Linked DNA regions of Caenorhabditis elegans. The protein of the gene in region 3 interacts with the protein of the main gene of each other region in a pairwise test. Each region holds a gene or a part of one and is shown on either strand. Other genes may lie near its edges. The genes, in order: gei-4, magi-1 and golg-2.

Evidence for each region.
Region 1: the proteins of golg-2 (region 3) and gei-4 interact in a two-hybrid assay, tested with the Caenorhabditis elegans proteins (one large-scale study listed by BioGRID).
Region 2: the proteins of golg-2 (region 3) and magi-1 interact in a two-hybrid assay, tested with the Caenorhabditis elegans proteins (one large-scale study listed by BioGRID).

The regions. Positions count from the first base shown.
Region 1 is NC_003281.10:346,631-350,384, reverse strand, and holds the start of gei-4 (BZIP domain-containing protein), read left to right. Parts: upstream 1-1,957; 5' UTR 1,958-1,984; coding exon 1,985-2,167; intron 2,168-2,220; coding exon 2,221-2,340; intron 2,341-2,475; coding exon 2,476-2,544; coding exon of another isoform or gene 2,545-2,697; intron 2,698-2,947; coding exon 2,948-3,346; intron 3,347-3,501; coding exon of another isoform or gene 3,502-3,516; coding exon 3,517-3,617; intron 3,618-3,754.
Region 2 is NC_003282.8:11,713,215-11,716,968, reverse strand, and holds the start of magi-1 (Guanylate kinase), read right to left. Parts: upstream 1,931-3,754; 5' UTR 1,880-1,930; coding exon 1,861-1,879; intron 1,814-1,860; coding exon 1,749-1,813; intron 1,573-1,748; coding exon 1,506-1,572; intron 986-1,505; coding exon 748-985; intron 703-747; coding exon 506-702; intron 445-505; exon of another isoform or gene 268-444; intron 110-267; coding exon 1-109.
Region 3 is NC_003280.10:5,038,315-5,042,068, forward strand, and holds the start of golg-2 (Golgin subfamily A conserved domain-containing protein), read right to left. Parts: upstream 1,778-3,754; 5' UTR 1,721-1,777; coding exon 1,664-1,720; intron 1,609-1,663; coding exon 1,417-1,608; intron 1,371-1,416; coding exon 1,296-1,370; intron 1,210-1,295; coding exon 1,114-1,209; intron 1,065-1,113; coding exon 96-1,064; intron 40-95; coding exon 1-39. Other genes in the region: F33G12.7 (uncharacterized protein), read right to left, coding at 1,967-2,064, 2,115-2,202, 2,249-2,365.

The DNA.
Region 1 (3,754 bases), on a different chromosome or scaffold from region 3:
AGGATAGCCTGAGCTCCATTCTAGTCTGATTCCACATGGTATATCCAGGACTACTGGAGAGCCCCAACAACTTTCAAGCTTTTCTAAGGCCTGGGTTCTCTATTTTAACAGACCCAAGAGGCCTGATATCATAGCCTCTGAATACGGTAGAAGCCAAGTTCTGCTCCTCTTCCTCTCCTTATACTATCTCCTGTGCTTCTTCTCCTTCTTCTTTCCTCACTGAGAGTGCCTGAGAGTTATTGTCGGCCGTCATTCGCCTCTCTTGTTTTCGAGTCTGCCGCACCCTCCGATCCATCTCTCCCCATCTTTCTCTCCGCATCACGTTACCCATTCATTCGGCACTCCTCCACGCACTCTCCACAATCGATACGCTGTCGTCACGGCCTCTAAGCACACACACTCCACGACGGGCGCGCTCTCTCGTGCCGGGTGTCTCGTGATCTCCGCCACTCGGCACAGTGTCTAGTGATGTTTGGACTCTCCGCAGCGCGCATTGTGTATGCGAGTGTGCAACGCGTCTCCGCGTCGCGGTCGGCCTCCCCTCGTACACAATGCCCCGCCCGTCTCCAATCTCTCCTCCCTCTCGTCCTATGCGCCCCAAATCGTCCTCTTCTTTTGTGTATATGTTTCGTTTTCTCTTAGTCTTCTTCCTCTTCTACTACTACTACTTTTTGCCCCCCGTCTTGTTCCCTTCATCTCCCTACACTTCTTCTTCTTCTTACCATCCCCAACCGCATCCATCCGCCATCACACACTCTTTTCCGCTGATTTTGGGAGCGCAGAGACAGAAGGCAGGCAGGCAACAAAATAGTGTGGTTAACAGTGATGATGGGAAGAGCATGGGCGGTTTAGGCGCGAAGAGGACAAATTTGAATTCTAAAAATCGACTTGAAACGGAGAGGTACAGGTTGGATTTGATGCCTTGGCCGTGAAATGGGAAAATTCGGAGGGATTTTCAGAGAACCCACAGCGATAGGAATTGGAAGACGGTATTAGAACCATTACATTAGGCTTTAGGCTCAGGTACTTGGATACGGGGCCCTCGTGGTGTCAGGCTGTCCTACTATGGTTTGATCTACAAAAAAATGCGGAAATTTTTGGCCCATAAAAATGTGACGTCAGCAAGTTCTTAACCATGCAAAATCAGTTGAGAACTCTGCGCCTCAACTCCGGCATTTTTTGTAGATCTACGCAGATCAAACCGAAATGAGACACTCTGAGACTTTTTCGTGGGGACCGCGGATATAAAAGGTCGGCCACCAAAATTCATTGCTCTTCTAGAATGCTAACTCTGCCTCTGGAACCCAAAATACCTCTGGATTTGCTGAAACTAGCTTAAAAGTGGATCAGCAGGACCTTTTCCGCAGGATTTAGAGGGACTGACCGAGTTTTCTCTTTCACGGCCACCATGTTCAAGCAGTGCACCTGGGCACCTGTGCACACAGCTCCAACACGAAAAGAAACTAAGATTTTTGCATTTTCAGTAAAATTCAGAAAATTCCACGTGGATCAGTGAAAATTTGGCGCAATTCCGTCGAAATTAGTACATGCTGGGACTATAATAAGAATTTTTTAAGCTTTTGCAGTGAGATACGTTGTTTTCAATTTTATTTTTCAATTTTTCAATCAAAATTCATGTATTCTTCTTTTGTTCCAGTCATTTTAAGCAGTGTTTTCATTATTCTAGTCTTATGAAATTCGAAAAATTGAGAAGGAGGCAAGTGCGCTCCAGTGACACTCCGGCAAATTTGAATTCGAAACTTATCTGCTTCTCTATTTTTCTCACTTTCTCCATTTAATTTCTTATTTTTCTTTGGTTTTCCTGGTTTTCCTTGGTTTTTCTTCAAAAAATTAATTTTTCAAGTGATTAAAATTGTTTCCAGCACAATTATATCCTTATTAAATCGCAATTCTCATCGGAAACTAGCTTAAAAACCTAAAATTCCAATTTTTTCAGGCTCGGAAACACAAAAAATAATAAAAAATGCAGCAGAATATACAATACACATACAGTTCGGATCCCCGCTCGGGCGGTAATCAAAATCAGCAGCTACACGGAATATCGCAATTTCAACAGAACTCCTATCAGCCGACGACGTATTCAAATTCAAATGCGAACAATTTTCATTCCTCTAATTCCGCAACTTTTATACCTAATTCAGTGACGGTAGGGGATTTTCAGGAAATCGAGTGAAAATGTTCAATTTTATTTAATTTCAGCAAACACCTCAGCGGCGGATGGGAGAAGAGAAGAGTTTAGTTAATATGCTTGACGCTTATTTTATCGACAGTACGACACCTTCAACATCAACGTCGTGGAATAATCAGCAGCCAGTTCAGGTAAAAATCGTAAAAATCGTGCGATTTGGCTTAAAAAAATGGCGGAAATCTCGAAAAATCTCGATTTTCCTCATTTTTTACCGTAAATTCTATCGTAATTGTGGTTGTGTTTGTGAATCGTGATTTATTTTATAGATGTCTTCAATACAACAATCAGTTGGATCATACAATCAACAAATACCTCAGTTGAAAGTAGGAGATGTGGTAAATTCGTTGTTTTTTCTTTGTTTTTTTTTGGGGAGAATTTCGTGTTATTCAGTGATTTTTTCAAGGAATTTTGAATTTTGCAGCTCGAAATCCGCGTGGATTTTCGCATTTGAGCGGATTTTTCAAAAAATTTGCTCAAAAAGTCGATAAGTTACTGGAACTTGCTTAGTTTTGCAACTATGGTCTGCTAAATAATTAGCAGACCAAAGGTGGGTATGCTAAATATTTAGCAGGCCCAAGTTGGGTATGCTAAATATTTAGCAGACCCAAGATGCGAAATCGAGCAGAATTTGTCCATTTCTCGAGTTTTAATGCGAATTTTAAGTTTCAACACACTGAAAACACGAATTGAATGAAATCACGCAGCGAACTCACCGAGCACACCTCAGAAACATTTCAGGACCTACAAGTAGAAGGAATGAATGTTAAACTCTCCTCGTCACCCGACAAAGGCGAGAAGGATCGAGTAAAGAAGGCGCGACAGGCAGAAGCCGCCCGAATGCGTTATCACCGACTATCAAACGAAGAGAAACGAGAGTTAAACCTGAAAAGAACGTTGGCGCAGAAGCGAAAACGGCAACGTGAGAAGGAGATGGAGGAGCTCGAATCGATTTTGCGGGAGACAAATGACATTCAAGAGGATCCGGACATCACCGAACAGCTCAGAGAGAAGAGAATGCGGGCCAAGTGGGCAGAGGCCGCCCGTACACGTTACGCTAGAATGACGCCGGAAGAGCGCCGGGCGCACAATACGCGGAGACGTATGCGGCAGATGCAGAACGCGATGAGCGCGATTAAGGTGAATATAGAACATTGAATTCTAGCAGAAAATCTGGAAAATTAGCGGAGAAGAGGAAAATTTAATTGGGTGAAAATCTATTTTTGGTAAAATCTCTCCTCCCTAACACACAAAATTTGTAATTTTTCCGCTGCTACCGTGACGTAACATTCCAGAAATCGGAGTTTCAGGCATGTGGAATGGCTACAGGAGATCCACAGAAGGACGACGAGGCTGTCCGGTTGCACATCAAGACGCAGAATGCGAAAAAAGCGGAGGCGGCTCGTCAACGGTAAGGAAGAGATTCGGGGGAATCAGAATAGCTTGGGTCTGCTAAATATTTACCATACCAAACTTGGGTCTGCTAAATATTCAGAATGGGTCTGCTAAATATTTAGCATACCCAACTTTGGTCTGCTAAATATTTAT
Region 2 (3,754 bases), on a different chromosome or scaffold from region 3:
CCATTTTCGAGCAAGTCACCACTGTCGAGAAGCTTATTAAAATCATCTACAGACACAAATCGATAGTGTTCTCCATCAACTTCACCTTCTCGTGGAGGTCGAGTTGTGTCTGAAAATGGTCACTTTGAAATTGAAATTTGTTTTAACTTCAATACTTGTCCCTCCATAATAATCTTTTAGATCAATAACAGGAAGAGATGTTCGTTTGGAAAGAAATGCAGGTTTTAGTGAATGTTTTGGTAAAGGCGAACCGAACATTTTAACACTTCCACTGGTGGCCAGCTTCGGACCCTCCCCCACCTTGTGATGATCCCCTAGATCCTAAATCACCTAATTTAATGGGGCGGATGTCTAGGTTTCTCTAGATCACACACTATTTCATCTCAATGATACTCCCTGTGGGCAGCTGCTAGTGCCATTGAAAACAATGAGGTTTTGAGGAATGAAACTTATAAGTATTAAATCCAATCTAGTTAGTTTCAGATCAACTTTTTTTGTAACTCACAAGGAACTGTCTTCTGATATAAATTTTCTCGAATGATAGTCTGAAGTTCACCAGATGATTTTCTATCGGCCAGTAGTTCACAAATATCATCGGTAATTGCTCCAGCTGGTAGAATTTCAATCGCAATTTGATCATGTTCTCTCATCATATCTTCCAATATCCTATTCACTTCAGATCTTACCATTCCTGATACTTTTCTGAAAATTTAAATAATAAAAAAAGAAATGTTCTAGAAAACCTACATGTTCTCAATTGTTAAAAGAATATCGTTAGGATGAACAATTCCAATTAAATCATCACGTCGCACAATATCAATCAGAATGAGTCGTCCAATTGAGGCTCCGCCATGTACTGTAAACGGGGTGATGACGTCTCGAGATGAAGAGTTTCCAGAGTCCGAATGGCAAGAAGATGTCGTGGAAATATGATGATGTTCACTGGCAATACGGATCAGTCGACGAGCAGCAAGTCCGGATGGCACTAGAATATTAAAAATTATTTTCAGTCTTTTTTTGGCTATTTCCTGATTTTTGGTTTTTTTTTCAAAAATGATCTTTCTTGACTTACAATGATTTTTTTTGCTTTAGTTGTTAAATTTTTATTCGGAACCCAAACAAAAAAAAATTTTAAGACAGTCTTGATGAATATTAAAAAATTAGGTATTAACGTGTGCTCCTACTGTGTTTCTTTTGACAGTGAAAGTATTCAACTAGTAAAATTTAGGTTACATTTTTATCTTTAGAAATAATCGAAATATGAAATCTCAGAGTATAGAAATGTAGGTGTAATACTAATAGGGAGCATATTGTATTATATCTATCTATGTTTGAAAAAAAAACTCACTAAAGAATTAAAAACTTTTCAACCACACAATAACTAAAAGCTCTGTTTTATATTTCACTGTAAACTGAACTTTGAAATGCATGGAATATTCAAACTTTAAACTTCTTCGTTAAACTCAATATCTTTCTTGAAGGTCATAAATGATTGAATAACTCACGTTTGTCAGTGGAATCTAGTGAAGTGCTTGGGCTGCTCGTGCAATCGAGCATTTCTTGAAGAGTGGCCTGAAAACTTGGGATAGTGAGGGGAGGAATTCAGAAGGACGACGAACAAGTGGTTGGGAAGAGCCTTCCACTACTTCACTAATCCTTTTTTCTTGCGAATAAACAATGGGAAGTGGTTTTGAAATGAGTTTTATTTTGGGGTGGAGCCGTTAGACATGAAACAAATCAAAACAAACCTGAAGCTTTTCAATTTCCAATGTGAAATCATCCTTTTCTTCATCTCCAATTTTCAGGCAAAGTTCTGAAATTAATAATCTTGATGTTTATGGACTAAACTCTCAATCTCACCAGCTGTTTTGTCGGTCATCTTTTTAGTCGTGGGTTCATTAAGAGAATGTCGAGTTGGAATGTCTTCTCTGCAACGAAAATGAATTACTATCTTCAAAGTTCGGAATGGCCCATGAGAAAGGGGACCGCATAAATTTTGCGAAAACAAATAAATATTTATTACGAAACAACCGTTTGTGTGTCGGCGACCTCAAGAGAACCCGAAGGAGAGCAAGGGACAAGCAAAAGATGAGAAAGAGTGCAGTGTGAATATGAATAAGGCGCTGTCGAAATGACAAATTAATAATGAGTCAGAGATTGGAAATTGGAAGAAGAATAAATAAGAAGAAGTGCGCGCAGATTTTTCAGAAAGTTTAGCACTGTCAGGTGACAACAAGATATTTGCGCAAAATGTATTGAAAAGTATAGCGCAAAACGAGCAAGAAAAACCGAAAAATGAAGTCTTCGACTAAAAAAATTTCGCGCGCCCTATTTTGAACTCAATTTGAACAGAAACAAAACAAATCGTGTAATGTTTTGGAAGTTCGAAGATATTATTGATAAAAGAAAAAAATGAAAAAAGCGAAAAAAAATTGAATTGTTCCATGTAGTGTCTTAAAGAGGTATGTGGAAGACTAGCAGGGATGCAATACTGTTTATCGATCGACTAAACCGAGGGGCAACTCTAACACGCGTGCAGTGTACCCACCACCATTTGGCCTACATGAATTGCGGGAAATGTAGTGTGTTGTATATATTTTAGTGCGGTCACACCTGTTGTTTTCTACGGGTATCACTCAATAAATTTTGTTACTAAAAGAGACATGAAAAATATTTAAACTCTATTTTTTAGTAAAAACTGGTGTTTCTAATAAAAATTCAACTAAATAATATAAGTAAGTTTTCAATACATATTTATAATGAATTAGATAAAATTGAAATATACATGTTAACTTAATAATTTTAGAGTCATGATTACTGTAGCACTTTAAAACTTTCTAGTAATAAATTAGAAAATTTAGACAATATTTTGAAAAGAATAACATTACTTTAGCGAAAATACTTGCCACTTTCGAAAATTTGAAATTCGTCAAAAATCCCACTTTCGTTCGAAAAGCCGTGAGTCATTGCACCTGGGAAACTCGATTCCCTTCTTTCTTAATGTTGGAAAATTTTTGAATTTAAAAATAAAATACAACTATTAGGAGCTATAGTTTCAGGACAGTCGGAAAATTTTCAATTTGGTCCAGAAGGTTCGAGTTGACCGTCGGCAAGCCTAGAGCATTTTCTTGCGAGGCGCAAAAAAGCTGAATGTGATATTTGGAGAACAAACATACACTTTGCCGTTACGGCACGCACTTTTGCTTCTCGCCGATAATATGGTGAACGGTTTTCTCATAAAGCGTTAAATCCTCTGCGGATAGAAAAAGAAAGGGAGACAGGTCAATTTTGTAACATACTAATGGTAAACGCACCGAGACGACAGCGCTGGTCAGGCTCATATAATTCGTCAAGTTCTTCTTCTTCTTCTCCGATTTCTACACAAACTTCCGAAAGTTTTCAACATCTGCCACGCATCTGGCATGTTGTGCTGCAGCAGTCACCACAGAATCACAGTGATGACAGCGACTTTAGAAACAAAAATGAAGGACAAGAAGTAGAAGAAGGGGACGGCTGTTTGCAATTTGTACTCGAGGGAATCAGCTGGAGATTCGTAGTTACGAGAACACAACGAAAAAGACACACATTAATCCTGAGAAATGCAAAAATTTGATTGATGCTGAGAAGAGACAAAGGCGAAACAGGGAAAATCATGCTTCCAAAATATAGTTGAAGTTCTCTACAGAGAACTCCTATAGGAACCTTTATGTAGGTAGATCACATTATTTACTGAATTCTCAATATTCATGAAAAC
Region 3 (3,754 bases):
GTTTTGTGCCACTGCGCGGGATACGGTCGCTTTTTCGTTCTGTAAATTCGAAAATTTGAAAAATCAGGGAAAAATATTGAAAATTGTAAATCTACCTGTAGTTGCTCTGAAAGAGACAACAAATCAGCTCCGTTTGCAGTTGACTCTAACGTTCGTTCTTCCAAAAGTCGATATTTCATTTCAAGTTCTGCCAATGACTGTTCTCTTTCGAAAATAACTTTGTCTTTTTCTAGAATTTCTTCTTCTCTGCGTTTCTGATCATCCTCACTTCTTCGTTCCCACTTCCCTCTTTCAACGAAACACGCTTCACGAATCCGTCTTGCTACATCTTCTTCTGTGATAGTTGGAATTTCATCATGCCTCTCAGAAACATCCATATTCATTTGAAGCTTCTGCAGTTCAGATTGAGCAATTTCGAGTTGATTTTCGAGATGTTCAACTTGATCGTTTGAAGAAAATTTTTGATTATGCAAATGCTCGATTTCTAAAGCCATCTCTGCTTGCTTTTGTTGAAGTGCATACTCTCGATCAGCATAGTGAGCTTTTAATGTCGCAGATTCGACGAGAAGACGTGATTTTTCAGCTTTAACGTTCTCCAGCTCACGTTGCAAGTTTTCATAATTCGTATTCTCATTCGGAATCCCTCCCGGCGGTCCTGTGGCTCCAAGTTGTTTCAAATAAAGATCTTTCATTTGAATGTCTTTCATGAGCTGACTGATGCGATTTTCTTGAGCCGCCGTTTCTTTTATCATACTTTTCACACGTGCTTGTGCTTCACTTCTCTCGTGTTGAACATTTAGCAGGTTAGCTTGCATTGATGCAACTTCTCGTCGAGCTCCTTCTAGCTCTTGATGACGTGCAGTTAATAGGGAATCTTTTTGTGCAATTGCTTCATTGAGTTTTCGAATTTCGTTTGACGAAAGTCCAGATGATGTTGAATTGCTCATTTGGTTGGCAATGTTCTCTGCAGCAGCCAGCTTGTGTCGAAGTTTTTCGATTTGCTTGTTTGCCTGACGAAGATCACTTTGAGACGAAACTTTCTCTTCAACCATTGCAGACAATGCCTGAATACTCCATCATTAAATTAAAATAAATAAAACGAGTAATCCTTACATTTTGGAGTTGGACAATTTGATTTTCTGTATCCACATGTATTCCATTTGCATTGACTTGTGAATAAGCGGAATGAAGTTGGGAGTAATGGGCACACTAAAATGATTTTTTTTTTAATAAAATCATTATTCATATAATTAACGAATTAGTTTTTGTATTTGTCAATTTCTCATTATCCTTACCAATTCGTCATGCTGGGTCTTCAATTGTGTATATGCCTGATACCATTCGTTTCCGTTCGGTTGAAATGGTGAAGCCTGAAGAAAACATTTACTCATTTAACGATGTTATCGATTTTCTCACATCCAATCCATTTCTTGCATTCAAACTTTGTGCAGAAGAAGATGAGTGTGGAATTTGAAGCGCTGTCGAATCTTCACTGACAACGCTGCTCCGTCCATTTAAACCTGCTCCAGCACCCGGCTCTGATGAAATGATACTTGATGCAGGAGAATTACGTCCATCGAGTCTTTGACGTGCTTCAAAGTCTTTCAGCTGTAAAATTTACTCTATAAACTTTGTTTTAATAAAGTTTCCTCACGATTCTCACCTTTTTCCTGGCCGCTGCCAGCATTTCAGCTTTGGCAGGTGCAGCGGCATCGACCATATCACTGATTAATCCAGCTTTACGCCGAAAAACAGTAAAATCTATCGATTTTAAAAGCTGAAAATGAAAAAAGACGTGGAAATTAGTGGTTGGACGCAAACACCGCAATTGACGACATAGCGCAGACAACAAAGCGAGTTCGCAATGAAAGCAGCAGAAATTCACACAAAAAAGAAAAAATAATAGGTTTATGTACAAATAACTAACGAAACTTTGGAAATAAATGCTAAAAAACAACCGAGCAAATTAGAAAACTGGAGGCTTGTGATCAGATGAGACAGGCGAATCGGTTTGCCCCTTGGTGAGCCAGGCAAGAGGTTCTCGTGTGAACGTGCGGTATGCTTCTAGAATTAAGTAGTTGAAGATAACATTTTAATTGAGAATATCAACTCACTAGCCCACTTTGAATCAGGATTGATCTCATCTTGGAAGTAGGCATAAGAAAATATCAGCATGCCTACTCCAAATGCGATTAGGGAGTTCTGGAAAATACTTAATTCGTTTTTAAAATTGATTATCAAAATAGACCTCTCTAAAAGAAAGCTTCTTTCCTCCTTTAGGTAACTGATTTTCCGTGATTTCCTTCCATTCGGCCTGCCCGTCTTTTCTTCTGATTAAAACACGCAAAATCCGAGTCAATCTCATCTGGAACAAAATCTGTTTTATTTTCTGCCTTTTTATTTGTTTTAAAAATTGGAAACGAAAAGGACAAAGCGAGAAGTCAAAGTCTTCCAGTAATTTGATATTTTAGAAGGAATTGAATTGGTCATGGAATTCCGGAAGGGGACAAAATATTTTTAAACGGACATAGGAAATGGGGAATTTTATGAAGCAAAATATATGTTATATAATCGAATGTATTAAATTTGAAAAAAATGTGAAGAAAATTAATAAAAAAATACTAGGAAAAAAAATATCTTCAAAAATTTTTGATGAAAACGCGCCCCATTGGCACTTACTAGAGACACAATACGCAGGAAAACGAAATTTATGAGTACATAGAAGTGAATATTGGAAAATGTTCTTCAAAACTTTTCATGACAGTGTTAAACTGAAAATTAAAAAGAATGGTGATCATAGTAGCAACGAATTCATATGAGATATATGTAAAATATTTAAAAATGAAGGATAAATGAGGAATATATAATTCCCGAGTGTGGAGGGGTACTGTAGGAGAACATAAACAAGCCTATTATCTCTGTATACTGTAAAGCATTAGAATACACAAGCAAATTTGAAGATTATATTTTGGTTATTCGCTCAGTTTTTAAAAATATTTGGAAAAACACTGATACGAGTTTCCGAAATTTTTGAAGACCAATTGTTCAGTACCTAGAAACCTTTCGGAAAAATAATCAATGTCATTACTGTAGTTCTCTGAAAAAATGTGTTATCTGAAACTGTCACTTGCATATAAAATACGACCTTCCTCCAAATCACGCTCTGAGCACAATCGATCTTTCTACTCCAGCTGTGTACATGGACGGACATAAAGGACAGCCGTCAGTGTCACTTCCGCGCCACTTTTTTCAAATGTTTTATGCAAGTTTTTGGTTTAGTTTTGTTTCGAATTTATTCCCAATTGAATTGAATTCGTGACTGCAGAAGAAAATCGAATCGAATCTCCTTTTTAGCGACTCGGATATACCCTGAATTTTTTTTGGAGTACTGTACTATAAACTTTCTCTCCACTTCAGCAATATTTATAATATCCTATAGGAGAACGGCTACTTTCTCGGAACAAAAATATTTCTACAAAACTATTTTTTAATTTTTGCGCAAATGAATTAAGAATTCTCCTTTGGCGGCTGCGGTTATATATTAATTCCAAACTTGTATAGAAAACACACGAAGTGAGGTAAAACCTATTATTATTCAGTTTTTCACTCAAAAATACAGTCCTTGATCTTGCTACGACCGAAATATGTCCGTCGAGTACACGGTAAAGTAGTTTGCGCCTCTAAGGAGTACAGTAACCAACTATGGGTTACTGTAAGACTTATAGGCGCATACATTTTTAACAGATTCAATTTG